Caenorhabditis elegans: one gene and its partner. The protein of the gene in region 1 purifies or fractionates together with the protein of each later gene. This does not show direct contact. Each region holds a gene or a part of one and is shown in the gene's direction. Other genes may lie near its edges. The genes, in order: T26G10.1 and Y37E11B.5.

Region 1 (14,624 bases):
CCAGAGAAATGTTTGAAATATTAAATTTCAGATGGGAAAGAATCTCCGAAGAAATTGGTAGCAAAACGAAGAAACAAGTGATGGCCAGATTCAAGCAATTGGCTGAGATGATTCGAAAAAAGAAAAGTTTTGTCATAATAATAATTCCTTTTTTGTTGATCGGGTTTGATGAAATTCCAAGATTTATTGTTTTAGACGCATTTCAAATATTTATTTATTTATTAAAGTTTTATTAATAAATTGAAAATAGTAAAAGAAAAAACATCAAAAATATCGAGGGGAGGCAAGGCACGATGAGAGGACTAAATTGGGAACAAAATGATAATTTTAAAGAGACCCGCAGAAGTGAATAGGGTACAATTCCTTTTCCACCCCGAATCGAACTTCTAAAAATAATTTTTCCAAATTTCCACTTTTTAATTCGTTCCGAACTGAAAACTATTTCCATTTTCTTTCCTCGTATTACTTAAAGTAAACTTATTTTCTCATTTCATACTTTTTATTTATTTTTGTAATAAAACTCAGTTTAAATCAAAACATAACAAGAATAACAACTGGACAACAAAATCAACAAAAAAGCCGAAATAACAACATTTTCGACGCATTTGTACTCATCCAGCTTTTTTCCTGTAAATAATTTAGATTGCAGGGTTTATTGCAATTTTAGGGAAATTTTCGCTGATTTAACTTCGAGAATTATTGAATTATTTATTTAAAGTAGAGGCTGAGCGAAGTTTTAGAAGAAATAGAAGAATAATTTAGATTTTAGGGTTTATAGGTCACTTTGTATTTAATTTGGAGAATTACTTAGTACTGTCGAAACATGATTTAAAAAAGAGGCTAACTGAAGTGCTTTTTTTTAATTTGCAAGCTTTTTGGTGCGGCATGTGTCGATTTACGAAGGAATTGTACTACACGCGGACAAGTGTGAATTCATTTTTTGCATGTATAATAACAACTAAAGAGCCAAAATGGACGAATTTTACGACTGAGACGCAAAAATTGTCCGAGTTGTACTCATATTTTGCCAATTTTGATTTTTTAAAATCAAGTCTGTAGAGTTTTCCTAATTTTCAGAACGATTTTATAATGCAAATTTTGAATTCCTAAAAATAGGGAACAAATGAAGGGGGGCAAAACTAATTTTCGATGAGTGATTTTAGATGAAAAACTAATGGAGGCGCAAAACTAATAGAGGAAATACGATATTTTCTTTACTCACGAGCATGAGCCAATGAAAGAGCCCAAAGAAGATATGAAGCTGTATGTGACACACATCCAAGAACAAATTCGATTGTGTGACTAGCCTGGTAGACCATCAAATCCCCCATCTCAAGTGGCCCATCACCATGTCCATGTCCGTGACCTCCACTTGGTTTTAGATTCTATTCTGGTGCACGAACACTCTGAATTCAAAAATATTAGACTATAAAGTTGGTGTTGATTCAATAATATTGGAAAAAGTGCAGAATAAAACTAATAGAATCATGCAAAAACTACCCATCACCAATTGTTTACCTGATGTTGATGTGACTCTGCTGTCAAAGTGCTATATCTCGATTGTTGCTTGTCTCGGCGATACAGAAAATATGGTTTCCCAAACAACATAATCGGAACCTGCACCAACGCCAACACCACAAGTATTATTTCGATTGTTGCCTGGAACATTTGTGCTGCATGTGAAGTACATGGTAGCTGAAGTGATCCTCCCAGGACGCCCAACTACCCTAAAGGCGGATATCCGTGAGAAGATCGCCAATTTTTATAATATCAATCCAGACACAATGGCAAAGAATACGCCGTTGTCACAAGATGATAAGGTAGATTTAACCAGTTAATTTCTCTATTTGAATTTGTTTCTTACAGGTTGCCAAGACTGTGGAGCAGCGGAGAAAGGATGCAGCCGCTCACAAAGAAGCATATAATGCTATGCCGGAAGCCGAGAGGAGGCATCTCAACTCTGAGAAGTATGCCAATCGGAAAGCTGAAGTGAGTTATAAACACAGGTGATTCGCAGTGTAAGCAAAATGCTTCGACGCACACAATGCTCGTGTTTGCGAAAATGTGCGCCACAGTGGCAAGCATAAAGGGCACAATGCGAACGCTCGCAATGTGCGCATTTTGTTTGGCCGTTATTCCCATCATTAAAGTGCTCATTTCGGTTAGTTTAAAGCTATTTTTGTTTGAGTTCTCTGTTTATTGACTGTTTTTTTGCTGATACTAACGTTTTTGAAAAACAAAACTTTTGATTTAGAAGGAACTTGTCAGATTTTGAAAATCATAAGGGTCCCCCTTATGATATAAAATTTTTGATGAAATTTTTTTGTTTTGAAAATTTTTTCGAAAACATGTTGAACGTGTAGAAAATGATCAGTTTGATATTTTTCACAAGTGTGAGAGTTCACAATGAATGTTCAGCCAAGAAATCATGAAAAGTCTAGAGTTGGGTCATTGAAACATCGTATGTTTGAGAGCTCCTAACTTCCTTGAGACTTAAAATACACAACTTTTTTCAACTGATAAGTTGTCAGAAATGAACTGAACAACAAGTTATTAGTTGACCATATTTTTCTATCTTGCATGTTCGAGAAGATGGGCACAGTTGAATTAGAGCAAAACAGCACTGACTTCGACAAGCCCTATTTTGGCACATTAAACATATAGGAAACATTTTTTATTTTTAAAACATTTTCCATAACTAGCTAAACAAATTTGTAGTTGATCGTTTTTTGATATCTTGTATGCCCAAGGATGCTCACAGCTTCAAAAACCTATACTATTTTTTGAACCCTACAATAAATAGTCATTTTCTCAGCTAAAAACGTTTTATCTAACGTTTAAATTGACACAAATAGAGTAAATATCATTTACTACTGTATCTGATGATTTAAAAGCAAGTTTTCAAAAAAAAAATTTTTTTTTGGATTTTTGAAATTCAAAAGGGTCCCCCCTTATGATCCGCTTTGAAAATCATAAGGGTCTCCCTTTATGAAATTTTTTTTTCGTGGAAACTTTTTTTTTCAAAAAAATTTTGATTGTGTTTAATTTTGTGCAAAAACATTATTTCAGCATGTTTCACAGTTTTAACCGCTCAATAACGTTCTTGTAGCAAAAAATATCGAAATCTTCCTGGATTTTTCAAATGAACACCTTACTTGTAACACAGTTTTTCTCCGTTGGCAGCAGGAATACAAAAAAGTCGTCAACTTGAAAGTTGTTTACAATGAAATGAATAACAAATTTTTAATTGACATTTTTTTCCTATCTCGCATTGCTTCAAAGTTATAGTCCTCTCGTTTTGAGCCCAATATTACTGATTTTCAGTGATCATATCTAAATAATGAACAAAGATAAAACGTTTATGTTTTATAATTGTAATAGATCATTTCAAGCTTAATAATTAGGTAATTGATCGCTTTTTAATATCTTTCTATCCTGAAAAGATGTACATCTCAGACGAAATTATGTATGTGGTTGAAGAGTTCAAGAAATGGAGGTTTTTCTCGTTGGAAACGCCTAGTTTGACGTTGAAATTTACATAAATAATCACTTTTGTACTTTTCTCAATATTTCAAAGTTGTTACAACTTTTTCAAAAAAAAAATTTTCCGAGAATTTTGAATTTTTTTTTGCAAAAATTGAAAAAAAATCCAAAGGTCCCCCCTTATGAAAATTTTCAAAAATTTTTACGAAATTTTTTTTTGAAAACTTTTCAAAATACGATCAGATCTTTTAGAAAAATGCGATGTCGGTTGTTTTTTTTCAGTTTGAACGTTCAGAACACGATTTCAGACGAACACCTGAGGCTTAGTAGAACCTCTAAGTTCAAAAAAGGCAATCACTTCGAATGCTTATATCTCCGTGGAAAAAATTATTATGACAAAGTGATTAACTACAAAGTTGTTTATCTTGAGTTAAAGTACAACTTTGTATTTAATTGTTTTTTATCAAAAAATTCGGTGGTTGAGATATACAGAGAGAAATGGAAAGAAAATACAAGAATGAAGTTGCGGCACTTCTCACAACTTTATCTCAACCACCAATTTTTTTGATAAAAAATGATCAACTACAAAGTTGTATTTTTAATTAAAATAAACAACTTTGTAGTTGATCACTTTGCCATAAAAATTTTTTCCACGAAGATATAAGCATCCAAAGTGAATGCGATTTTTGAACATAAGAGGGAGGTTCTACTATACCTCCGGTTTTTGTCTAAGCTTGTGTGCTGAACATCCAAACTCAAAAAAACAACAAACATTGCAATTTTCTAAAACATCTAATAAAAATTTGAGAAGTTTTCAAAAAAAAAATTTCGAAAAAATTTTTGTAAATTTTCATAAGGGGGGACCCTTTGGATTTTTTTTTCAAGAAAATCCAAAAAATTTTTTTTCAAAAGTTGTCAAATATTTATCAGATATTGTAAAAATATGTTTCCCTAATTGTATATATGTACTTTCTTGCTGAATGTGGTGCTTTCAAAAACTAAGAAACTGTAAAAACCTCTATCCCTCTAACTGATCTACCTACTATGCCAGTTTTTCGAAGTCATGTCTCACATCGGGCAAGCAAGACATCAAAAAATTATTAACTACACACTTGTTCAGGTTGTTATGGAACATGTTTCATGTTTAACAGTTTCTCGCTTTGTGTGCAGAGTACGGAGATATCATCAGGCAAAATTAGTGATATTTTACTCATAATTAGGTGCTCCTATCTGCTCAACCATCGGAGATAACAAAAAGTTACAATAAGTCATTTGTCAATCACTTCATTCCTAACAACTTTCTAGTTGACATTTTTTCATATTTCAGCTGCCTGAGGAGCTAGAACATTTTGGAAGTACTGACTTTCAATAAACAAGCCAAATTGACTGTTGAATTTTTTTGCCCAGGAGTATGATTGAGCCATGAAAACTGTGGAAAATACTAAAATTTACATTTTCTACAGAATCCAGCAGTATTGAAATTTTTTGGAATACAAATTTTTTTCCATAATTTTTCATAAGGGGGAACCCTTATCAAAATTTTAAAATTAGTGGAAAATATTTTTAATTAAATTTTAATTGAACTCAATTTTTTTTCAATTATTTGTTGGTTTCAATCACAAATCACATTTACGACTCAAAGTGATTTTTTTTCTTTTCTACGACTTTAAATATAAGAGCGAGAAAGCATTTCAAAAGAAGCTCCAAACGCAGAAGGCAACGACACTCCGAAATAACGGTTGCGCGCCCTCTTAACCGTAAATCCTCCTCATTTTCGAAATTATTTTTTCACAATTTCTTTTTCTTTTTCTTCGATTTTTCATATTTTTCTTCAGCAATTCTTTGATTTTTTTGGCAAAAATAATTATTTTCCGTAAATATACTCGTGTTTCAGCATTTCCGACGTTGATGCGTCGATTCGTCCGACCTGTAATCCTGTTCCCACACTGTATTGTCTCCACCGCGGGGAGCTTTTACCAGTGGCTGCAAAGCACCATCAGACGACAAAGGACAAGACGGTATTAACAATTTCAACATAACAGCAAGAATTATGTATATTTTGCAGGTGAATACAAAGGATTGGAGGACATGGAATTGGCTTGGGAACCGGAAGTACCGGCGGTAGCGGTGGCCATCCGACTGCTCGCTTCCATGCTGCAATTGAAGACCGACAATCGGAAATTGGTGCTCAATTTGTCCACGTAATCAGTTTTTTAACCCATAATTTTAACATCGAATTTTTCAGAATCAACAGGACACTCCCATCCAAACTCCAGAGATGACGATGAGGAGCAGGCGACTTGCTCATCTTCAAACTCTTCAGCTATGGAGCCCCAATTGGATGAATCGGAGAGCCGCCGAGAATGGACGATGTCATTGATAAACGTGGAAGCCGGTTGGTTTAAAAAATATTCGAATAGTTCCAACTACTATTTTTCAGAGAAACTCCAAAATCAGCTCGCCGTAATCGTCTTCGTCAAGTAGCCGCGAAAGTTGCACCGAAATCGTCTCTAATTCATCATAATCATCACACTGGAGCTTAATTATTTTTTATTTTATTCCCAATTTTCTCCCTCCCCCCCCCCCCCCACATTGTAGCTAGCTTTTTGTTGTTCTCCCATTTTTTTTTTTGATTTTTGAACTAGTTTGATGTCTTGTTGTGTCATAAATATTATTTGTTAAGCAGTCTTTTAGTTTTAATTGAGAAAAGTATGAAGAGCGGAAGCGCGGATGCCGGAATGCGGGGTTGAAAAAAAAAGGAAGCATAAATTGTTTTCCTTTATGCTCGCGTTCGTTCGCAAAGACGAGCATTGTTCTCCATTTTTGCTCATGTTTTCAAGTACCCATTCGAAGCACGCGCGAACTTCGGATGAAGCATAAAACTCGTACTCGCGAATCACCTGTGAATGCATTCGATTTGTGTTCAAAAACTAAATGTGTCATTTATTCAGGCCGCCAATGCAAGAAGACGCGCTCGAAGAGCCGAGAAGAGAGATCAGCAAAAACATCAGCAGCTGTTGTTGTTGCTGATCTCTCTTCTCGGCTCTTCGAGCGCGCCTTCTTTATTCGGCTCTTCGAGCGCGTCTTCTTTATTCAGGCCGCCAATGCGGCCGACAATTTCCGAGTTTCGCCACTCACAGCGCCTCAAATCGGGAGAGAACAACGAAAAAAGTGGTTTTGGCGCGGGAGCGCGTTTGCTGCAGACGTCGCACGAATTGGAATTAATGTATAGCAAAACAGTAAAATATCGCGTTTTCTCTGCATTTTAGGGACTTTAAAGCAATTTTCAACAAGCGGGCCGGCCCAGAGACTGTTTGCGATGCGATTTACTTCATTTTAACATAAATTTTTCTCCAAATAAGCTCGAAATGAGCTCTGAATTTCGACGAATCTGAAAATTTTTTTTGACGAAAAACAGAATTTTGCAAATAAAAATTGATTTTAGAGCAATTTATTGCATAAATATTTGCCTTTAGATGTTTTATGAATAGTTTGAATCTTTTTAAAGAGTTTTAGTCATTAATTTGACTGATAACACAGAAAAATGATTTTTCTTTACAACAAAATCGATAAAAAAGTAAAGCAACATTTATCAAGAAAAATCTTGCAAAATTGATTAAAAAACTTTTATGAAATCAAACATTTCAATAGAATAAAGTTACAAATCAATCAAAATCACTAAAAATACGAATAGTTCTGATCAAATTTCAATGTTCCAATCTACCAAGTGATCTATGACACGCCAAATTTCTTATGTAAGTGTTGCTCTCCAATTTTCCTTAAAAAAATGGCTCAAATACTTACATAAATGATCAAATTAACATTTTTTACAAGTTTCGTGTTGTATTTTCATTTCCTTAATAAGGAACCATCAGGTTCTTCCTACCCTCTACGACTCTAGATACCTCAACTTCGACAACTCCTATCTACTCGGAGAGACGAGATATCAAAAAGTGATCAACTAAAAACTTGTAGAGCACATCAAAAACTATGATATTCAATTTAACCTACGTTTTTATCTTTCAAGATGGGGGAGTTAGACTTACATTTGTATTGCATACTTTTTGTTATTCTACTGGCTGCTCTAACTCCCTCATCTTAAAAGATAAACACATGATTTTAATTAATTATTATAGTTTTTGATATGTTCTACAATTTCTTAGTTAATCACTTTTTGATATCTTGCCTCTCTGAGGAGATAGGAGTTGTCGAAGTTACAGTATCTATAGCTATGCGCATATGAAGAACCATATGGATTCTCATCATGCTATACTACTTATCATCTGCTTTTTGTGGGAAACAATGATTCAAAAATGTTTTTTCAAATGATAAAACAAGTTTTGATTTGATCTGAACATTTAGTGTTGGTTTAGTGAAGATCAACTGCAAACTAAACAGTTTCCGTTGATTTGGGCATTTTTGAGCAATTTCAAGACTTGAAACCGTGTTATTTCTATCAAGCTGACGTTTAAAAATTGGAATCAAACATATTAATGCTTGAAAAAATTTGTTTCGCGTAGAAATTTTGTCATAGAGTTAACTTGTTCTAATCGGTTCGAAAATCAATGATAAATCAACCAAATCTTGAATTTGTTCAATAAAATGTTTTTAAAAACTGTTTTAAAGCAATAATAATTCCAATATTTAACTATTTTTTCCAAATTTCATCTTGAAAACTCGAATAATCGCGAAATTTCGTCTGAAATTTATTTAATACCGTAAAAGTGTGCAAGCGCGCTCCGTTGGACTTTCCAATTCTCGATTTTCACAACTCTCCCGATTTGAGGCGCTGTGCGGTGGTTGTTTTTCAGCCTGAAGTGAAAGTGTCGTCAGATTGCGTGCATCTCGTAAATCTACACGAAGTGTTTGCACAAACATCAGAAACTACGACATAATGCAGAGTTCGAATTTTTACTCTTATATTTTAATTCTATTTTTTTAAACGTTTTTTCTTTGCTTCCGTTAATTCTTTTTGCACATATTGATAATTTTTTTTTATTTCAGAATGTCAGACTCTTCATCTTCTGACGGAGAAGATAATCAAAAGTTTCTCGGGAACCGAAAGAAAAACCTAACTAAAAGTAAGTATTCTCAATTTTAACTGAAATAACTGGTTAATTGTCTTCAGAGAAAGTAGTTACGGAAGAAATTGAAAAGGACGATGAAGAAGATGTGAAAGAGAAATCATTTGCCGAACTTGGTGTCTCCCAGCCGCTATGTGATGCTTGTCAGCGACTCGGATGGATGAAACCGTCAAAAATTCAACAAGCTGCTCTTCCACACGCACTACAAGGAAAAGATGTAATTGGTCTCGCAGAAACAGGATCAGGAAAGACTGGCGCATTTGCAATTCCCGTCTTACAATCACTTCTCGATCATCCTCAAGCTTTCTTCTGTTTAGTATTGACTCCAACAAGAGAACTTGCATTCCAAATTGGCCAACAATTTGAAGCTCTGGGCTCAGGAATTGGATTAATTGCTGCGGTTATCGTCGGTGGTGTGGATATGGCTGCACAAGCGATGGCTCTTGCAAGAAGACCTCACATTATCGTTGCAACTCCAGGACGCCTGGTTGATCATTTAGAGAATACCAAAGGATTCAATTTGAAAGCATTGAAATTCTTAATTATGGATGAAGCCGATCGTATTCTCAATATGGATTTTGAGGTGGAGCTGGATAAGATTCTTAAAGTAATTCCTCGTGAACGTCGAACCTACTTGTTCTCAGCCACAATGACCAAGAAAGTTTCAAAGTTGGAACGAGCATCGTTGCGAGACCCGGCCCGTGTTTCTGTTTCTAGTCGCTACAAAACTGTCGATAATCTGAAACAACACTACATCTTCGTCCCAAATAAGTACAAGGAAACATATCTTGTGTATCTGCTAAACGAACATGCCGGAAATAGTGCAATTGTCTTCTGTGCCACATGTGCTACAACCATGCAGATTGCTGTGATGCTTCGTCAACTTGGAATGCAGGCTGTCCCTCTTCATGGACAAATGAGTCAGGTATGTGTTGAGCAAATGTGGCACATTAATTTATAATTTTTTTCATCAAAAAATTGTTCAGGAAAAACGTCTCGGATCACTGAACAAATTCAAAAGCAAAGCTCGTGAGATCCTTGTGTGCACCGATGTGGCAGCTCGTGGATTGGATATTCCACACGTCGACATGGTCATCAATTATGATATGCCATCTCAATCGAAAGATTACGTTCATCGTGTTGGAAGAACTGCTCGTGCTGGAAGAAGTGGTATTGCAATTACAGTTGTTACACAATATGACGTCGAAGCCTATCAGAAGATTGAAGCAAATTTAGGTTAGATTTTGAATTTTCCGACTTGTTAAAATCGCGCTACGAAGTCATCATTTTATTTTCGAATTATTTCACATATTTTAGCTAGATTTCTTGTTTTCGGACAATTTTGCGAAATTTTTCCAGTTAACATCCAAAATGACCAATTTAATTATACTTATTATAGAGAATTTGTTTCCTTTTGTAAATGTTACATGCAAAAAGAATTAGAAAGAATAGTCCAAAAACAAGAATTATTGTCAAAATCAATAAGATCATGCAAACAATAAATTCACACTTCTCCGTGTGTAGTACAATTTCTTCGTAAATCGACATAAATCAAGCCGCACCGAAAGCTTGCAAAATTTCTTCTAAAACTTCGCTCAGCCTCTACTTTAAATAAATAATTCAATAATTCTCGAAGTTAAATCAGCGAAAATTTCCCTAAAATTGCAATAAGCCCTGCAATTTAAATTATTTACAGGAAAAAAGCTGGATGAGTACAAATGCGTCGAAAATGAGGTTATGGTTTTAGTAGAACGAACACAGGAAGCAACAGAAAACGCGAGAATTGAAATGAAAGAAATGGACGAAAAGAAGAAATCTGGAAAGAAGCGACGACAAAATGATGATTTCGGAGACACTGAGGAGAGTGGTGGAAGATTTAAGATGGGAATCAAAAGTATGGGAGGTCGAGGTGGCAGTGGTGGTGGACGAGGTGGAAAAAAGAAGAAAATGAGTAAATGATTTGCTCATTTATTGTTATTTCGGCTTTTCTGTTGATTTTGTTGTCCAGTTGTTATTCTTGTTATGTTTTGATTTAAACTGAGTTTTATTACAAAAATAAATAAAAAGTATGAAATGAGAAAATAAGTTAACTTTAAGTAATACGAGGAAAGAAAATGGAGATATTCGATATTCATCTCCGGTAAAAAAAAAGAGTCAGAATAACCCGAGTGTTGTGTGTAATTTACAGAATTTCAGTGTCAATTATTGAGGTGGATATTGCTGATGGTGGAGAGGATGATGATATGATTGGCCAACTGATGGTGGATTCCATTGTGGATATCCTACACTTCCAGGATTCACACTTCCTGGTCCACCAACGCTTCCAGGTCCGACGCTTCCCGGATTCATCATGTGCTGTTGATGGCTTCCAGGACCTCCTACACTGCCAGGTTGTCCGACGCTTGATGGATTCATTTGCATTGATTCTGGAAGTTAAAGTACTGAAATATGGATCTTGGAGGAACAACTCACGTGGACCACCCATTGGTTGCCGATGCATCCCATATTGAAGAGCATTTACAGATTGAGGACCCATCATTGAACCTGGTTGCAGAACTGATCCAGGTTGTTGTATTGAAACTGATCCGGGCGCGGCCACCGAGCTCGGTCCAGCTACTGATCCAGGGTTAACGTATGTCGGCGGAGCAACACTCGAAATGATAGGTTCATCTCGGTTTCCAGGATTCCAGTCGCCCGAGTTGAATCGATCCATAACGAGACGCACCAGATTCCAAATTGGATTTCCCCCAGAAGTCTTTGTTTCAGCGTTTACTTCATCTGCCATTTGTTTGTTCTTTTCATTAGCTGATGGAACAACCACAAAGTTTCTGAAATTTGATTTAATTAAAAATGGGAGGTCCTTTGAAAAAGTAAATTTATTGAATGGTGATTTTGCGTTAAAATATCCAAAATAATCTGAAATTCAGAAATACCACAAAGCAACAAAAAGAAAATCGAGAAAGCTCTCTCTGTCTGAACAAAATGAGAACTGCAATATCAATCAGCGATTCGCTCCGCCCATTCTTCAACCAATCAGACGGTGTAAGTAGGCGGGGCAGATCGCTGATTGGTCTTTCCGTTTTCAGTTTGGAACGAATTCAAAAGTGGAAATTTGGAAAAATTGAAAATTCTCTTTAGAAGTTGGATTATTATTCATTTTCGATTTTTCCCCCTGCTATTTTGGTAATTTTGAAGCAAAATTCACTCGCAGCTCCACTTTAAAGTACAAGAACTTACTCTTTAATTCTATAGATAAATCGAAGAACACTAAATGATTCTGAAGTACGACTTTGACTGACGATAACCTGAAAATTTGAATTTTTTGAAGAGAGCCAGGCAAGAAAATAACAGTCTTCCATACATTGAAAATAATATTCTGCAATGGTTGATCCACTTTCGTCGCCGGCGCCAGCTTCTTGGTCGATGTGTTGTTATAAGTGAGAGATAGTTGAACACAGCATTTCGACGTGGGTGGATGCTCCTGAAACTTTTAAAAGATAAATACTTCCGTTTGTTGACTTTAAATATTCAGTATTTGATCTCTTAATGGACATGAACTTATCCATAAGATTCGTGATTTCCGCTTCTGGGGGTGTATCCGAAAAGGGAAATTACGTTTTCCTAGTAAAATGTGCAAAGCTTTTATATTCATCCTTGTAAAGTCGAAGTCTTTCTAACTAAAAGGACGCTATAATAAACTCAAAATGGACCAAAAAAATATCAAGACTTTTCCAAAACAAAAAAATTAACCCACATTTTATTCAATCACTGTTTCAATTTCGCAATTTCATCAACAACACACATTACCATTATTAGGAATTTCAAATTTTTTTTGAAAAGTCTTGTTAAAAACATTTTCTTTTAGGGTCGTTTTGAGTAGAATACATTTTTTGTACGAAAATCTCAAATAATCACTTTCACTATCCAGACTGACGTATTTCATTCACACATCCCCGAAAGACGAGATTTTGTGCTTTGAACACTAACTCCTACACCTTTCTTTTGCATTCTTGTAGCATTCTGCTTCCGATATTCACGTCACACATGACTTGGTTGACTCACATTGTTCCCGAGATCTTGAAAGTGTGAAACAAGAATTCATCACTTTTGTTTTCCTGATAATCCAAAAAAACAAGTTCATTGTTTTTATCTAGCGCTTCTCAAATTATAATTCTGACTGGCGGTGCTCTTTTATTATGAAAATTTTTTTTGCAATAAGTTCTTTGGTGCACCATGTTCACATATTCTATAAAATTTCAAGAATTAAAAACCCAGAGGGGGTCCTTAAAATATTTTTAGCGTTTTGCTCAAAACACTTCGTTTATTCTTGGCTGTCCCCCTCTTGGTCTTATGATCATCCACTTTTTTTTTTCGAAAAAAAAATACACGTCATAGTAAGGTCTTCAGGAGGACCTCCCGATTTAGACCTACCACTCCTCCAATCGTGTGACTAGATTTTCAATATTTATTATATATTCTACGGATGAATAGAGAATTTTGTGACATCTGCACGGGCTCTCAGATTTATATTCAGTTGCAAAAAGAAAGTTCAATACACGGTTAATTGGGTTTTATTATTTCTTATTTTCATCCTTGTGACGTTTGGATTTCGTTTTTTTTTTCAAATATTTTTTTTCGATTCTCGGTTTCTCAAAATTCTGCAGAACTTCTCGTCTTGACCAAATAATTCTCAAAAAAGCTGGTTCTAATTATTTCGTGACGTGACTTATATCGCGAAATTTTCACATCGAAGAAGAAGAAAAATATCAAAATTATATTATTCGAAAACAAGTGGTTTTGTGGAATTTTGTGAATCATATTATGAATAAGCTCAAAATTGTTTCAGATTTTGGTAAATTGCTTAATTTCCAAACAATGTGGACTTTCAAAAAATTACGAGAATTCCATATTGAGTGTTAATATCTCTAAAATGATAGTACAAAAAGTTTAAACTAAATTTAAATTTGAAAAAAAAATCGCCGAAAAGAAACGTTTTTTTCAGTTGACTCACTTGAGTCAGTTGAGTCCAACCAATTTTGCTACAATTTTACGCGAATTTTTAGTTTTCAGAAACTTTCGTATAACTATGCAGGTATATTACCAGTTAATTAGACTAATTTGTGTGGTTTTTTTTCAATTCCAAAAATGTGGACGATACTTTAATATTAAAATCCACGAGTCTGCTTTTTAGTCATTTTACAATTTCGAAAAAAAAAATCGGCGCCATTGTTATTGAAGGAAGCATTTTGCATTTCCGGCTCAATTCTCAAGTCACAGGGACCCACTCATTTTGTAGTCTACGGCGAAAAAAGGAATTTCTATTTGGTATTGGTGTATAGTATTCGTCTTCTTCTTCAATTCGCATCCATCCGTGAACACCCTCCTCCCGAAAAATCCCGCCCCTATTATTTCATGATTTCTACTAGTTTTCTCTTGTTGTGTCAATTCGAGAATATTTTATTATTTTAATTTATTTTCTGGTTTCCTTCAGAAAATGATGTCGTCGAGAAGGATTGTCTACACACTTTTGCTCATCACCATCGCACTTTGTGCATATTCCACGGCTTATGCACCAAGGGTTAGTTTCTTTTCTTTTTTCGAATATTTAAACAAATGATGTTTGGCGCCGCGTATTCTCTGTATGTTTCAAAAAGGACCGTAGGGGAACTTGATGTAATTGTTGATAGAATCAAAGAAGAACTTGAGGAGGTACTTCAAAGTTTTACAAAAACATTCCGGGAAAATTTCAGAACATCCGTGGAGTTGGAGACGTTCCTTCAATGTTCTTCTCGCCGTTCAGAATGATGGGAAAACGCAACCAATTCTATGGACTATTCAAGTAAGATACAAAGATAACGTCACAAAATAATGATAAATTTTCAGAAAAATCCGAAGCAATGAGGTAGTTGATTACTAAACTTCGAATTTACATTTTCTTTTTTCTATTCTCACCACTAATTTATTGTCACACTCAATTCACATTCTCGCTCTCTTTTCTATTGTTTTTTCGAATAAATCGTGAAATTTGTTATCCTACTTATGACAGCAGAGCTATCA
Region 2 (16,995 bases), on another chromosome or scaffold:
GATAGCTCTGTAACCTTATGGGAAGGCCAGTAACACCTCTCTTCCTAAAAAATAAACTTTGAAAGGCATGTTCCAAGCTGATAAGACCAGCATTTTTTGTATTTTGCTTCTCCGAATCACCCCATCATTTCACACCGTATTTCGAACCGCATAGATAAGAAGCTTATCACACCAAGTCAGGCTTCCTTGAAGACAAAGTTCGAATCTTACAGGTCTATGAGCAATTCACGCCTACTCACCAGTTCACAAAGCTCATTCAAGACCATACAAACGTCGATCCAGACGTTGCATTCTCGTGTGTTCCCTATGAAAAAGGATCAGCACTGCTCTTCTACCTTGAGCAGAAGCTCGGAGGAAGTGAGATCTTTGAGGCTTACCTTAAAGATTATCTCAAGACGTTCGCACATCAGGCGATTGATAGTTGGCAGTGGAAGGATCATTTGTATAAGTACTTTGCGGATCAGAAAGAGGTTCTTGATACAGTAAACTTTGATTTATGGTTCAATGGAGTTGGTATGCCACCAGAGAAGCCTAACTATGGGCAGTCGATGGTTGAAGCTTGTGAGGTCCTTCTGAAGAAGTGGCTTGCCGCCGATGAAAGCACTGTTGGGGACATTACGTCTGAAGATTATTATGCTATGCAGCCCCTTCAACAGATTGAGCTGCTATCCCAGCTGTGGCAGCACGACCCTCCAATTGAGCACTACAAATTGGATGCTTTGAACAAGCTGTACAAGTTGAACGATTCGCAGAACTCTGAGCTATTGTTGAAGTGAGTTTCAGCCTGCTGGACATCTAAATTCAATGAGCTAATCATTTTCAGCTGGCTCCGATTGTGCATCAAATCCAAATGGGAAGAGTGTATCCCGAAGGCGCTGGACTTTGTCAACTCTCAAGGCCGCCTCAAGTTCTGCAGGCCGATTTACAGGTAAGGACAAGCTCAAAAGCATCAAAAATTTTCACTTCTATAATTCCAGAGACCTCGCTCAATGGCCGATTGCCAACAAAAAAGCCCGTGACGTCTACCTCAAGGGACGTAGCCAAATGCATCCGATCACCGCCGAAATGATCGCCAAGGACCTTCACATTCGTCACTCGACTCACACAGTTTGCTTCTAAGCTTTCCCTGATTTTATTTTGTACATTCCCACCACCCACGTACTTGTGAGCTTGTAGGTCTTTCCCCTTTTCCCCTGATTTTCGTTAAATTGTGGTTAAATAAACTTGTTTTTTTTTAAGTTTATTAGAAACAGATTTTTGCAGCTAAACAGAAGAAACATAATTTTTTTGAGAAAGCAAAGATTTCTTATTCATTGAAAATGTCGTGATCGGTTTGATAGCCTTGCACTTCGTTGAAAATGAGCCGTTTCCATTCAATAAGAGTCCAATCGTCAATGTCATTAACCTCATCGTCCGGAATTTCTGATGCGGGGGCGTTTACTTCATCGTCCTGTAAAATTATTAAATGTAAAATCATTAGCAAACCTTCTTGTCATTATTTTTTGAATCTGTTGTCTTTTTGGGGCGATTTTCGGGCAGTTTTTCATGGTTTTTTTTTGCCGCTCTTTGAGATGTCTCATTTTGCGTTTTTTGTTATTTTCTTTTTCTGAATTCTTGATTTTTTTTTACTTATTTTTCTCTCTTTCTCCTCATTCCTTCTCGTCCTAAGCCTAATCCTAAGCCTAATCCTAAGCCTAAGCCTAATCCTAAGCCTAAGCCTAATCCTAATCCTAAGTTTAAGCCTAAGCCTAATCCTGAGCCAAAGCCTGAGCCTATGCCTAAGCCTAAGCCTTTAAATAAGTTTACTGACAAAGCGTTAAAATTTCGTACCTTGAACCATAGTATATGGATGATTAAGTGCATCTTCAACTGAATACCGTTCTTCAGGATTGATTTTCAACATATTGAACAGGAGATCACGAGCCATGTGTACTGAAAGTATCATTTCTTCTTCAAAATTCTGTATAGCCCGACTCACGTGTCAAATGATCCTTCGGGTTCTCAGTCTCCGGCAGAAAATTGGAATCCGGAACTATTTCATTGAAAGCACGTGCTAGATGTTGTGGCAACGATCGAACATACACAGCGCCTATTGGTTCTAATTGATTAATGAAATGATCGTCTGGTGTTCTTAATACACTAGAAATTTGTGTCCATTGATCACGTATATCTTTGCCCGGGAAAAGAACGGTATGGTTGATCATTTCAGCAAGTATACATCCGACTGACCAAATGTCTACTGAAATTATGAATTTAGAGTTTTAGAGTTACTGTACATATAATTTGTGTTAGTCCAAAATTACAAACCTTTTTCCGAATAGTTCAGACCCAAAATAACCTCGGGGGCTCTGTAGTATCTTGTCCCCACATAATCTGACATTCTCATGTCCACGTTGCGTCTTCTTGCCAATCCGAAGTCTAAGACTTTTAACACACAACGTTCGTTCACGACAATATTCGATGGTTTTAAGTCCTAAAATTTTGAAATTTTGAGAATGTTGTCTATAGTGGTGTACATAGACGTACACGATGAATGAATCCCAAATTGTGAAGGTGCTTGATTGCGCACAAACTCTGGTAGACCAAGAATGATAATGTTTCATGATCCAATCTGATAATGCATATAGTTATTTTTCAATTGCCGATATTCAATTGATTGTCAATTGACGAAAAGTTAGAGCATTGTCAGTGGGGATTTAGTTTAAATATGTTTATAGTCTCCAACCTTCAATCTCCAACTCAGCCAACTCAACCAACCAGCTCAACCAACAACAAATCTCAACCAACAAAATCCAAATCCAATCTCCAACTCTCCAACCCCGTCAATTTTTTTTTGCTATTTTTTCTAACTTTTGTCTTTTTTGAGAAAAAATAATATTTTACGTATATTAGTCTTGGACCTGGGAATTTATTAACAAGTCCATCATATACATTTTAAAGTACGCCTAATCATAAAAATCAGCCATCATGCCTCTTACCTTAATCGATGTATCACCTCGTGTAGATTGTGTGTCATAAATTCCATAACCAGATATACCTCTTGAAACGATGAAAGTGAAGTATCCGGTGTGAAAGCGTTTAGCAGACGGATTATCTGAAATTTTTAGCATTTCCTAGATTTCAAATAATTCTTACATTTGGGTGTTTCAGAGTCGTTAGCAGTATAAATTCTCGATATGCTCGCCTTGCACTCATTGTCAACAGAAATGGTTGTTGCATCTTCTTGATTGCTACGCGTTGTGTTGTCACTAGGTCATCGGCCATTCTAAATGTAAGCAAAAAAAATGAAACACTCACTTCAAATTTGATCCATTCTAGTTTCTACTGTTAACCGCGAACACGGAGTTCTGGATTCCCTCATATTTTGAAATGTAAGATTTTGCGGCCATTTGGGCTCGTCGACGGCCGTGTCCACTTACGTTGGGTGGCGCGCCGTGGCTCAGTGATGTTCTATGATATAAACATAAACATAGCTTAAACTCACACGACAATCCCCTGAGCGCCGACATTCAAAAATTTAAGGTTGACATAACGGGTTGGAATAGTGAAAGTAATGCCCGCGCCGGCTATCGGGTCCTGAAAACGAGTTTCAATTATGATATAATATATGAATACAAACCGTAATAGTAACTTGATGAAATTTGGAAGGTAAATTCATCTTGTTGCGTCTGTAAAATCATTAGTATCAGGGAGAAAAATAATATTATTGTACTCGGCATTTACATATATATTTGCATGTTAAATATAAACGCGTTGACGGTAATTTAGAATTCAAAAAGCGTAATTAGACAAAAAAAATGTGCCTTTGAAAAAGAGAGACTCTAACTAACTAGTAAGATTGTTGTAAAATGATTGTTGAATGAAGATTGAAAAGTATGATTTCCAATTTGAAACTACAGAAAAAATCTATAAATATTTCATAATAGTTTGCTTATCATTAAAAAATGTTTTCAATTTTCCTCAAGCAGGAACTGATAAAAATTGTTTAGTTGCATGAAAACTGACAACTCATTTCAACCCACATAGAAATTAATAATTCTATAAGACGGAGAATGAAAAATGATATTAAAGGTACGCGCCAGTGAGGATTTTATTTAAATACACTTATCCAAAACAACCAAATATCATAATAAAACACTAAAAAAAAATGTTAGATGTTTCATAATTTTCGGTCAAAGTTTTGGCAGATTGCCAAATTTTTGAAAAATATGAGCTTTTGAGGAAATCCAACGCAATGTCGCATGTTGCGACCCCTACAATGTTTTAATACAAATAATTAAAACAAAATTAAAATATAAAAAATGTAGGAAAACAATTTTTTGGTCTACTTCCAAAATTATGAGTGGCAAAAACTGAGTAATTGCCACTTTTTGACGGGAAATAAAGTTACTGTATGTTTTCATTTAACCCATAATTATGAAAAAAACGTTTTTTTTAAACAAACTTTTTTCAGAATAGTAGACCAAAAATAACCTCGGGGACTCTGTAAAAAATCCGAAATTTCAAATTTTTTGAACACACAACTATTGTTCACGACATGAAGTTTAATAGTAAGTGTTTTTATATTTTTAAACAAAAACATTTTACGTGAACATTTTCTTTCTAAAAAAAAATTTTTTTTAACATAAGTAAATTTGTTTTAAAAAATATTTTGAAAATAAAGAAAATGTTTCCCGTGAACTTTTTTCCCAACAAGATACTTTTAAAAAAGTATAAACAAAAAAATCAGAAGTGTCAAAAAATCAATAAAATTGATTCATTTTGCAAGATCAACTTGTAGCAATCTCGACGTTTCCATCAGGATAACAATTATGAGCAAGTCGTCTAAATCGGTAAGTACGGTTGCTTCAGATCACATTGCAGAAGCCAATGATCCTTCCAGCAAAGCCAATCGAAAGCTTCATCAAGTGACGGAGCTGTGTGCCCGCCAACGGCTTGCTCCACCAGTCTCCTCACCGCCGAACAGCTCACCGATCCTCCACAAATCCCGACGGCCTTGTCCAACTCGGTCAACACTGCGATTGGTGGAACTCCATCCGACTTTGAGTCGTAAGTAACTTCCTAGAAGAATGCTGTGAACTAACAAAACTAAATTGATTTCAGGAACTCCGGGCTATCTGACACCTCGGCAGGATCGGGCCGCGCCAACTCGGCCGTTTCCGAGACGACCACAGCAATGTCGGCGACGTCTCCGGAGATTATTATGAATGGTAAGACGATGCATGTGTGCTCTAATGCAGAGAACCTTTACAGATCTTCGAAAAGGAAGCCTGTTTGGCCGACAGAAAGGGAGTCTGGCTACCACGGATGGAGGGCCCCAGAGTGTTACTATCATTACTTTCTCGAACAATGTGAGTACGGCGGCTGTGGCCAGCAGTTTCGAATTTTTCCAGACTAACATGTCAACTGCTTCCCAGCCCACCAGCCTCGATGACAAATCCCAAAAGTCGCAGAAAACTGGATCAATGAAGACTGGAATTCCGATGGTAGGCATTCGCTTTCTACAAATTTCTTGTCTATAACTAGATTTCTTTCAGAGATCGCCTGGATCTTCCATGGCTGGCAAAGGTGCGATGTCTCGTAAAAAGTCGCCGAAAAAGCAGATGGATGCTCTGAAGAAAGAGCAAGTGCCGGCTGCTCCGGATTTCTCAAAAAAATCCAAAAAATCTAAGAAATCGAAGAAGTCGAAAAAGGCCAGAGTTGCGAGAAAACCCAGAATGCCCAAGAGTTCTGTAGATTCTACCAGCTCTTCAGACGAATCAGGAAAATCGGCAAAATCTGCGAAATCTACAAAAATGGCCAAGAAATTGGTTTGTCCGGCTCCTCCTATGAATGCGGACTTCTCGAAAAAGTCGACAAAATCTGGAAAATCTGCGAAAATCGCGAAGAAAGTTGCTGCTCCGGTGGCTCCAGCAGTGGATGGAGACTTTTCCAAAAAGTCGAAAAAATCAGTGGCCAAAAAGTCCGAGGCACCGCCGGCTTTTGGACAATCTGGAGTTGTGAAGAAGGGGGACAAGCAAAAGCAGAACGATAGTGTATACTTCCCAGGTGTCAATAAGTGAGTTACTTTGAATATAGCCGGAGTAGGGGTCCCAGCTGAGTGAGGCGTGAGTGACGCCATGAGGCCGGCGCGGCGACCGCTGAGGCCGGCGCAGGCGCGGATGCGGCGACCTCAAGGGAGCCTTAAGCCGGAGAATATTGGAACTACCCTATCAATGTAGCATCTATAATTCTAAAATTTCAGCCCTTCTACTGCCAAGTTCGGAAAATCAGCTAGCTGTAAGCCTGGTCAAGCCTCGACCTACAATTTCCCGGGTGCCGGAAAATGCGCCCGTCGTATGGATGAGGTGGCTCCACCGACTCCAAAATTGAATGCAGGCGACGCAAGCCACTGTGTCTACAATGTTGCTCAACTTCCACCGGCTCAGCGACGCATGCCACCTCCGATTGCTACTGGAGCTCCAAAGTCGCTTTTCGGGACTCGTAAGGCCAAGGTGAGTGACATTAGAATCTAGATTTTGATTAAATATCACTATTTGTGATTTCAGACAGCTCCGAATCCGGTTCCAGCTCCTCATGTCATGAGCAACACTGTTGCTCCGACTGCTCCAAATGCTTCAACCAGAAACAAGATCGTCGTCTTTGGCACCACGCCTGATGGAAAGTCAACGGTAGCTTTGATATACGTTGAAAATTTGGAACTTTTCCAAATTTCCAGATCCAAATGACAATCGACATGAAGGTGGTGGCCGGGGAAATGCTCAAAGGCTCGGATCAGCCGGTGGACTTGGTCCCCAAGAAGGTCGTGGTTGCCGGACAGGAAATCACAGTTGATTCCAAGTCGAAGAACGAAAAAAATGAAATGCCCCTTTGAATGAGTGTGAACCAATAAAAGTGATGCTTCAAAATATGATTTCATTCTCTACATCGTTAAATTTGTTTTTAAATTTTCAGAAATTTCACGTGAAAAAACTCAGAAAAAAATAACAGAAGGTTAAAAAATCGATAAAATTCATTCATTTTGTGGCAAGCTCGAAGTTTCCATAACAAATATGAGCAAGTCGTCTAAATCGGTAAGTACTGGTGCTACAAGTCTGAGCAGAAGCTCAGCACCTTTCAGCAAAGCCAATCAAAAGGTTTATCAAGTACGGGATCTGTATGTACTACAACTGACGGATCCGATTTTGAGTCGTAAGTAACTTTCTAGAAAAATTCTGGGAATTCATGAGAATAAATTGATTTTAGAAATTCCGGGCTTATGAGCACCTCAGCCGGATCAAGCGGAGCCGCTGCCTCCGAGCCGACCACAGCGAAATCGCTGACGTACTCGGAGACTATGAATGGTAGGGCGCTGCAAATTCACTCTACACTGGCAATGTAGTGACAGAAACTATTTAGATCTTCGAAAGGGAAGCCTATTTGGCCGACAGAAAGAGAGCCTGGCGACCACGGATGGGGGACCCCAAGTAAGTGGATCGGCTCGGCAGCTTCAAAAACGTTTTTCAGCCCTCAAGCCTCGATGACAAATCCCAACAGTTCAAGAATCCAATTGAGTCAGATAAACCAGGACCGTCTACGGAACCTGGGAGATCAGCGAAAATTGAGCAGGAAGCTCCGGCTCCGACTTTGAAAAAATCCGAGACACCGCCGGCTTTTGGACTCTCTGGAGTTGTGAAGAAGGTGCCTAGTGTCTATTTCCCAATTTTCAATAAGTGAGTTATTTTGGTTATAACTCTGCCAAAGTTAGTTGGCAACTCTTCGATATCTTGTTTTTCTGACGAGTGCAACTATTATTTGCAACTATTATAACTCCGCAACAAGTGGGGATAGAAACAAGTACTCAAATAACAAAATGTAGACCTTGAAATTTTCTATATTAAATTAATTAACAATTTTCGGCCATGTCATCCGCTAAGGAGTTAATAACGTTTTAAGATTGGGTGTCAAAATTCCAGGCTTCCTCCCAAGCCTCCGGGAAACAGAAGAGGCACCGGCAGTATGAATTCCGTGGCTCCGCCGACTCAGAAAATCAATGCACCTCACATTGTCTACGATGTTGCTCAGCTTTCTCCGGCTCAACGACGCATGCCACCGCCGGCTCCGATTGCTGCAGAAACGACAAAGGCCAATGTGAGTTGATAGATTCGAATTGAATATCACTGTTTGTAATTTCAGAAAGCAGCTTTGGCTCCGGCTCCAGTTCCAGCTCCGCTTCCAGATGCAGCTCCTCAAAGCGCAGACAAAAAGTTCCCGGGTACCGGACAACGCCTCGGCAGTAATGTGGCTCCATTACATTGAAGTCATTGAAGACCACTGCACCGCAGATTGTTAACAATGTTGCTCAGCTTCCACCGCATCGCCGACGCCTGGCGTACTCGGCTCCGAAGTCGCTCTACAGGTATCGCAAGGAGCCAGATGCTTGGGCTCCAGCTCCGATTCCAGGTGCAGCTCCCCAGGTCATCAACATAACTGCAGCTGCTCCGACTGCCCCGACTGCTCCAACTGGCAACAAGATCGTTATCGTTGGCACCACGCCTGATGGGAAGACAACGGTATTAGTTTCGGGAAATTTTCTCTCGAAAGTTCTAATTTTTCCAAATTTCCAGATCCAAATGACGCTCGACTTTAAGATGGTCAAAGGGTCGCAACAGGTCACCCTGGTGCCCAAGAAGGTTGTGGTTGCCGGAAAGACGAAGAACGACAAAAAACCCCTCTGAGTGCGTGTGAACTTGTAATAAAATTACTGCATTAAACTTCGATGATTTCTATCTCTCATTTCCTCCCGTACAGAATCATCTTTCAAAGACCAACGTGTTGATGACGACGGCGACTAGTGGACTGTCCTTCTATGAACCTTATTGTTGGAGTCGAAAATAGTCGGTGGAAGAGAGAGGGTCGAGGAAATCGTATTTTCTGCACTGAAGGTAGATCAGAAGTTCAGAGCTAGAAAAATAGAAAATAAATAGACGTGATGAGGATTTTTAAATAGATAATGTTGTCATGTTCTCGAAAACATCGAAAACATCGAAAATTCCAGTATTTGAGGTCATTAAATTTTCTTGTAGTTTATGTAACCGTATTTTTTTTCCTGTAGAAATCGTGGCGAGACCAACTTACTTAGAAAAACAGAGTATACCTTTAAAGGGAATTGTCAAATTTTACGGAATTGATGGCATATAATTGATGTTAACAAAATCATATTAACTTATTTTTGTTGCAAAAAGCTTCAATTTTAATAGATGTTTGCTTATATACACTCCGACTCAGCCGTGTGTCGATTTACGTAGCTCGTGTACTCCTCGAGGGGAAGGGCTTTAAAATTTTAGCTTGAAACTCCTGGTTTTGTGCCATTTTCGCAGATTTTTTTTCGCAGCTTACGTTTATATTTCTAACAGAAAATCTTATTGTCAGGAAAAACTCTTTGAAACCAAGAATTGCAGTTTTTCTCATTTTCCACTTAAAAATCGGCAAAATTGTATTACGTGAACACCAGACTTTGTGAATGCGTATTGGACACCAAATTTGACTTGCAATATATCTCGTAGCGAGAACTACAGTAACCCTTTTAAAAGACTATTGTAGCGCTGGAGTCGATTTACGGTATCTCGATTTTCGATATGGATACAGCGATATTCAATATTCTTAATTTTTCGTAATGTTTTGTAATTTTTTTATTGTTTTCTTTTGATATTTTTTTCGATTAAAAATTGAGTTCTGTAAATCGACACAAGCACTACAGTAGTAGTTTAAAGAGTTACTGTAGTTTTCGCTATAAGATATTTTGCGCGTCCAATATGATGCGCAATACGCATTGTTAGAATTTTGTGTTCCCGAAATAGTTTCCGGGGCATAAATTTTTGGAATTTTGACACTTTGGCAGTAAATCAGTGTAAAATTGGCGTTTTGCGAAAGGGAAAATCGTTGGATAACACGGTTTTTTCCTCAAAACTCTGCCGAAATTGAAAAATTTTTGTGATTTTCCAGCTTTACAGCAAGAAATTGTGGGTTTTCCAAATTGGCGATTTCACTTATTAATTTTTAAAAACTGTATTTATATCCCTTTTCCTCGGGGAGTACACAATCTGCGTAAATCAACACTAGGCCGTGTTTGAGGCCAAAAATGGCTTCATGAGGCCATTCTTCTATGATTTCTAGTTGAGAACAAAAGAAAATCGTTAAAAAATATTAATTTAGTTTTTTTTATAACGACACTTGTTAATAATTCTCGTTATCTTCGAAGAAATTTTCACTTTCTCTCCCATTAAGATCGCTTATTGGGGGGAGTGTTTACTGTAACTTTTTCTCTTTTTTGTTCGGTCGTTATTTTCCCATCATCTTTTATCATCACCTCCCTCACGTCATAGCCGTATATAAACAAGATTTCGTCAGACCAATTACTTTTTTTTTTGAAAATAAAATGAACATTTTGATATTATTGCTGCTTATGCTCATTGGAGGTAGGATTTTCTTTCTTTCTGGTATTCCCTGAAATTTGAAGTTTTTTATTCCAGAATCCGTTTCTCTGACTATGCTCGGATTGACACGTGGCTCCCGAGTTGGCGCTGCTGACGACGACCCTCCATATTTCCCGGAAGAAGACGATTTCCCGAGAGCTAGAAGCCGCGTGCCGACCTACGAACAAGCTATCGGGACAGTTGCTGGAAAAGCTGTAAGTTGAGAGCTTTCAAAGCTACATAAATTAATTTATAATTTGAAAAAAATTGCAGCTCCCGGCCCGTCGGTGGGAGGAATTGGAGCCAACTCATCGGCAAATTCTTGGGGCTCCGCTGAGAAGACGCCCACTTATTTCCAGAGTTTTGGGTCGTGGTGGTGGACTTCACAACTGAATTTTTGTTAATTTTTGCATGTATTTTACTATAGATCTCGTTTTTCTTGTTGATATGCGCTGGGAATAAATTAATATTTTTCTTGTTCCAGCAGCTTTTCTACATTAAATTTTCGATCGAAAGCCGGAAATAAACGGAAATCGATACTTTTCGAATAAATTTACTGAAAAAAAACTTCAAAAACCAGCTGAAAATGTCTAACAACAAACAATTGTCTCTGATGAATTCTGAAAAAAATCCAATATATAAAATTAATGCAAGCGCGCCCTACCTAACACCGACGAAAGAGTGTGCAAAATGCAGAGACGCAGACATTGCAAACAATATTTAAATTCTGTTTTCCGTCGATTTTCTTCCCAAAACCGCTATGGGCCGCAGCAAAAAAGGAGAAAATAAGAATAATAATGGAAAAAAGAATGTGAAAAACAAGTTGGGCTATGCGCGAGCCGAACATCTCCATCGATGTGCGATTTTTCTGTCAAAACTCGGTAAATTTTCAGTTTTACTCAATTTTCTAATCAATTTTCCCCGATTTTCAGGCTCCAAAAACAACGACGGATTCTCCAAAACGAGCCGGCACGTTTCAAAGCTCTGCCGACAGGTTATGGACACGGAAATGGTGCATTTGGACTGCGAGCAGAAGCAGCAATTTTGCAAAATTTGCCGGGAGGTTCTCGTCGGAAATGTAAGCTTTTCTCATGATTTTTTTTTTAAAATTAATTTCTGTTAATTTATCGATTTTTCAGTACGAAAAAACCGAAATCTCTGTGAAACAACGCGGATCTGTCACCGAGAAGTGCGGAAATTGCCACAAAGAGCGGAATTACATGACGAAAGCCGGATACGGAGAGACGCTCAAGGAAAAGCTGGAAAAGCTGAAAAAACAATAATTAAACTAATTGTTTTAGGTGTTTTACGGGTATTTTATGCAGATAAATTGTTATTTTTTGCTTTAAATTCATTTTTCCCTACTTTTTTCGGTTAGAAATCCGATTTTTTACTTATTTTCCCCCATTTTTCCAGAATTTTCCTCAAAAATTCCCCATTTTTCCAGGGTAAAATGACAGAGCCAATGCCAGATTCTCGGGATATCAACGTAGCGCCCATCAAGGAGCAATACATCCTTCCAGTAAGCGCCGGCTGACTGAAAACGCTGAAATTTAGCTGAAAATTTCAGAAAGAGGACCACGAACTGCCGGCCGAGGTTCAGGCGCTGCCGAAACGGGAACGACGTGGAATGAACAAGACTAGGAGGTGAAAAATCTGAAAATAAAATTTATTTCTTGTGAAAATTTTGAGAATGTGCGTGAAATTGGCTGGAAAACCCCACGAAAAGCCAGTTTTCCGCGCTGTCTCAAATTTTTCAGCTAAAAAAACTAATTTTTAATGAAAAATGTTGGAAAAACCGCCAAAATTTCTGCAGAAAGGACATGAAACACGCGGAAACTCGAATTCGCGCCGCCGCCGTCCGTCTCTGCCCGTCTGTAATTCAACCAGTGGCTTGCAAGTGAGTTTTATCACATTTTAGGGTAAAATTTTATATATATAAAATGTGCTCCAAATCGGAGTTTGATACGTTTAACGCACTTTTCTGAGTCAAAAACCGGCGAAAATGAGCTTTTTCCTAACGAAAACTGCTGAAGTTCACCAGAAAAAGCTAACTTTCAGCAGTTTTTGAATGGAAAAAGCCCTGAAAATACGATTTTCAGCCAAAAAACTTTTTTTTTTTCCAAATTCCAATAAAAAAATGCATTAAAATTCGATTTTCACCGAGAAAGTCAAGTTTAAGTCGAAAAACAGCTGTTTCAATCCCGAAATTGAAATTTTAAATGCAAAAAATTCAGTCAAAAAACCGCATTTTTACGCCAAAAAGCGTAGATTTTCGTATATAAATTATTTTAAAACTTCAAAATTTTTATAAAAAATCGCTGATTTTCAGTGTAAAATTCGTCAAAATATCAGAAAATTTTAAAATTTAAGCATAAAAATGGACTTTCAGCAGTTTTTGAATCGAAAATCACCAAAAATAGCTAACTTTTAACCGAAATATCGAAATTTTAGTTTAAAAAAATCAAAATTTCCATAGAAAAATCTATTCTTTTTTATCTTTTCCAAATTTCCGCCTAAAAATCAATGTTTTCTTCCAGATTCGGCGAAAAATGCAACTGTGAGCACGACATTTCGGCGTTTCTTGCCAAAAAACCTGCTGACATCGGCGTAGCGTGTCCCCTCTACGATGCTCGCGGAGCATGTCCATTCAGCTATGCTTGTCGTTTCGGCGGAGCTCATCTCGACGAAGCCGGTCAGCAATCTGAAAAATCACCGGAGAAGCCGTACGAGCCCACCACAAATTGTCATTCGATGAAAATTCAAGTGGCTCTGCGCAAGCGAGAATATGATTTTGAAAAGACGGAAAAAGCACTGGAAGCGATTAAAAATGAGAATTTCGAGGTTCTCGAGCTGAGCCTGAGCACTGTCGGAGCCATGTGTCGGGAGAAGAAGCCGCTCAATATGGGCTCACTTGATGGGAAAAAGTATCTGGCTCCGTTGACCACTGTGGGAAATCTCCCGTTTCGAAGAATTTGCGTTGATTATGGAGCTGATATCACGTGTGGAGAAATGGCTCTGGCTACTAGTATACTGTCGGGCACTGCGTCGGAGTATAGTCTGCTTAAGGTAGAAATTGGGCGATTTTTGAGATGAAAACAAAGTTTTACTGCAAAAAATGAGCCTGAAAACCTCTGAAAATGGGATTTTATTTTTTCGAATGGTCAACATATACATATCGATAATTTCAGAGATTTTTGAAATTTTTTTTAGCTAAAAATGAAGTAAAAAAGCTAAAAATTTGAAAAATTTGAAAAAAAGTAGTTTTCGATATTTTTTTTTGCAAAAAATCAAAAATTATCCACTTTTTCCTAAAAATAAATACCTATAAATTTACGAAAAATTTGGAGTTTTTTGAACATTTTCAGTGAAAATCTAAAATTTTCGCCAAAATTAAAAAATTTCTGAAGAAATTTGAATACCCGCCAAAATTTTTCTAAAATTATCGAAAAATTCGCTAATTTTTCCTGAAAAATACCTAGAAGCTATCGAAAAATTTCCAGATTTTTAAAATTTTTTTACTCAAAATTTGAATTTCCAGCGTCACCCGTGCGAGAAGATCTTCGGTGTTCAACTGGCCGGTGGATTCGCTGATACAATGGCAAAAGCTTCACAAATCGTCGTTGAAAACTTCGACGTTGACTTCATCGACATCAATATGGGCTGCCCAATTGATGTTGTTAATCAAAAAGGAGGTGGTTGTGCTCTTCCGAGCCGTCCTCAGAAGCTCTTTGAAGTGCTCGCCGCCACGAAAAGTGTCCTTGGCGGGTGCTGTCCGTTGACGGTGAAAATTCGAACTGGAATGAAGGAAGGAGTGCTCAAAGGTGCAGATTTGGAGCTGAAAATCTTTAAAAAAATCTGCCCAAAAAAATCACATTTCTCTAAAAAAAAATCTAAAAAATTCAATTTTTGTATACAATTAACTGAAAATTTGTATTTTCCGTTAAAAATTAACCGAAAATGGGCTAAATTTCGAATTTTCTGCCAGAATTGGCAAAAAAATTCAATAATATTGAAGTTTTCGATTTTTTGATAATTTTAAAATTATAAAAAATTCAAAATTCTCGCCAAAATTTTTTTCTTCAAATTTCTCTTTAATTTACCTGAAATTTTGAATTTCTCGCCTCAAATAGACTGAAAAACCATATTTTCCGCAATAAGAATTGACTGAAATTCGGAATTTCTCTCTGAAAGTTGACGGAAAGTCTGAAATTGAAAAAAAACACCTATTTTCAGCTAAAAATAAAAAATTTACCTAAAAACTAAAATTTTCAAGTCAAGATTCGTATAAACATCGAATTTCTAGTCAAAAATTAAAAAAAAAATTGAAATAAAGAAAAACTTTCAATTTCAATTTTTTCATGCAAAAATTTCAGAAAAAAATCGATTTTTCAACCGAAAAATGTCAAAAAAAATTCAATTTTCCCGTCTCAAAATTACCTAAAAATTCGATTTTCCCACTGAAAAATGTCGAAAATTCACATTTTTTTCAGCGCCCGAATACGTGGAGCACATGAAAAAGCACTCATGGCATACACCTGACCTCATCACATTCCACCCACGGAGCAAAGAGCAACGATACACACGGCTCGCCAATTGGGATTTCACATTTCCAGTTCAAGAAGCTACAAAACCTGTTCCCTTATGGGTTTGTGGAGATATTCTGAGCTGGGAAGACTATTACGAGCGGCTGGAGCAATATCCAGTTAATGGAATTATGATTGGACGTGGAGCACTCATTAAACCATGGATTTTCACTGAAATTGATGAGAGACGGACTTGGGATATTAGTTCAACTGAGAGATTTGATTTACTCAAAAAGTATGGAAATTTGGAGATTTTTGAACTTGAAATTCGAAAAAATGGCTTAAAATTGACCAGAAATCTATAAAAATTGGAAAATAAAATGCAGAAATTGGAGACTTCCGGAGATTTCTAGCTGAAAATTCGAGAAAATGACTGGAAAATAAGCCTAAAACATAAGAAAAATTGGAAAAAATCTATAATTTGCAATTAAACTCCTGAAAATTCATGAAAATTCGGTAGAACTGCCCTTTTTAGCTGAAAATTCCAAAAAAAAAGTGGCCCGAAAATCACGATGTTTCTGAATTTTTTAAACGTTAAGTTCGTAAAATTTCACACAAAATTTCTAGTTTTTAAATCGCAAAATTTGCAACAGAAAAACTTTTAAAAATCAGAAGTTTCCGAATTTTGACGTTTATTTCCGCGAAAAAATCTCAATTTTCGATCGATTTTCCCGCTCAAAAATGGGTTTTTCAATCGATAAAATCAGTAAAAACTATTTTCTTTTCAGATTTTAAGAAATTTTTCTCATTTTTATTAGAATTTTAGTAAAAGAAAAGTCAATTTTCATCGAATTTTCGGTTTAAAAAAACCAATTTTATCAGATTTTCTTCAAATTTTCTAAAAAAAAAAATTTCCAGATTCGTCGACTACGGTCTCGACCACTGGGGATCCGATGATGCAGGCGTCGAACGTACCCGTCGATTCCTTCTCGAGTTTCTATCATTCCAGTGCCGCTACATCCCTGTCGGAATCCTTGAACGACTTCCCCAACGGATCAACGATCGCCCACCAAGATTCTGCGGTCGAAATGAGCTTGAAACGTTGCTCTCCTCACAAAAAGCCGACGATTGGATCGAAATTTCGACTCGGCTGCTGGGACCGACGCCGGAAGGATTTCAGTTTATTCCGAAGCACAAGGCTAGCTCGTATTAAAATAAAATTTGGAGAATATTCATGAAAATTGGCGTTTTTTGATCAAAACTCCGAATAGAAAATGCCGTTTTTCTACCAAAAATATATGAAAATGCTATTTTTTTAATGAATTTTTTTGTATTTTCGGTCGAAAAATTTTGATATCTGCTCATTTGTTGAGAATTTCTGCTCGAAAAATGTCAAAAAAATGTCGAAAATTTCGCAAAAATCCAATTTTTCACCATTTTTTCTAGTTTTTGTTCTGTTTCGTTCCTGTTTTTAATATTTTGTTAGTTTTTTTTTCTTATAAAATTGTTGATTTTACCCATTTTTTTCCACAAAATTTTGTTTTTTCTATCGGTTTTCTCACCGTTTTCATATTTTAATCCATTTTTTCACAATATTTCAGATATTTCGCCTTTTTTTAAAGTGTTTTCCTCTGAAAATTAGTGCAATTTTGACTGTTTTTTTTATTGAAAAAAAATCAAATTTTTGGACCTAAAAACGTAAATCATGTATTTCTCACCAAAAAATCTAATTTTCAAAGGAAAACTTATGAAATACTGGTTTTTAACTATGATATTCCTAATTTTTCACTTGAAAATCGTAAAATTTCTCCATTTTCAGTCAATTTTTTCCCCAGAAATTTCTCTTCTTTTTTTTTTCAGATTTTCACCTAAAAATGGATTTTTCGGAAGCTTCAACGTCAGGCGATCGAGTCAACGGGTTTGCCAAACCATTTCCACCAAAACCACGAGAAGGAGCTCCACCACCGGCTCCCCCACTTGCTCCAGGAGCATCAACTTCTCAAGCTCCACCACCA

Evidence for each region.
Region 2: the proteins of T26G10.1 (region 1) and Y37E11B.5 fractionate together in Caenorhabditis elegans (co-fractionation; one large-scale study listed by BioGRID). This does not show direct contact.

Annotation. Positions count from the first base shown.
Region 1 is NC_003281.10:9,400,505-9,415,128, reverse strand, and holds T26G10.1 (Putative ATP-dependent RNA helicase T26G10.1), read left to right. Parts: upstream 1-8,487; 5' UTR 8,488-8,488; coding exon 8,489-8,564; intron 8,565-8,611; coding exon 8,612-9,492; intron 9,493-9,553; coding exon 9,554-9,803; intron 9,804-10,263; coding exon 10,264-10,526; 3' UTR 10,527-10,645; downstream 10,646-14,624. Other genes in the region: T26G10.3 (Small ribosomal subunit protein eS24), read left to right, coding at 1,689-1,820, 1,867-2,010; nlp-48 (Neuropeptide-Like Protein), read left to right, coding at 14,062-14,145, 14,318-14,406, 14,451-14,484; rgr-1 (Mediator of RNA polymerase II transcription subunit 14), read right to left, coding at 10,770-10,993, 11,040-11,395, 11,805-11,872, 11,929-12,048. UniProt on the Caenorhabditis elegans protein: Probable ATP-dependent RNA helicase which may be involved in ribosome biogenesis.
Region 2 is NC_003282.8:3,593,459-3,610,453, reverse strand, and holds Y37E11B.5 (tRNA-dihydrouridine(47) synthase [NAD(P)(+)]), read left to right. Parts: upstream 1-11,901; 5' UTR 11,902-11,907; coding exon 11,908-11,976; intron 11,977-12,024; coding exon 12,025-12,101; intron 12,102-12,270; coding exon 12,271-12,354; intron 12,355-12,994; coding exon 12,995-13,523; intron 13,524-13,995; coding exon 13,996-14,278; intron 14,279-14,947; coding exon 14,948-15,275; intron 15,276-15,898; coding exon 15,899-16,193; 3' UTR 16,194-16,495; downstream 16,496-16,995. Other genes in the region: ltah-1.2 (Peptidase M1 leukotriene A4 hydrolase/aminopeptidase C-terminal domain-containing protein), read left to right, coding at 213-772, 824-928, 978-1,119; kgb-2 (Stress-activated protein kinase JNK), read right to left, coding at 1,443-1,450, 1,831-1,932, 1,979-2,239, 2,308-2,473, 2,527-2,611, 2,979-3,094, 3,136-3,265, 3,485-3,576 and 1 more; Y37E11B.10 (BRCT domain-containing protein), read left to right, coding at 4,812-4,832, 4,883-5,049, 5,104-5,210, 5,254-5,486, 5,538-6,058, 6,245-6,494, 6,549-6,671, 6,719-6,874; Y37E11B.7 (Neuropeptide-Like Protein), read left to right, coding at 10,418-10,457, 10,512-10,669, 10,728-10,847; Y37E11B.6 (Zf-AD domain-containing protein), read left to right, coding at 11,215-11,335, 11,387-11,532, 11,594-11,737; taf-2 (Transcription initiation factor TFIID subunit 2), read left to right, coding at 16,855-16,995.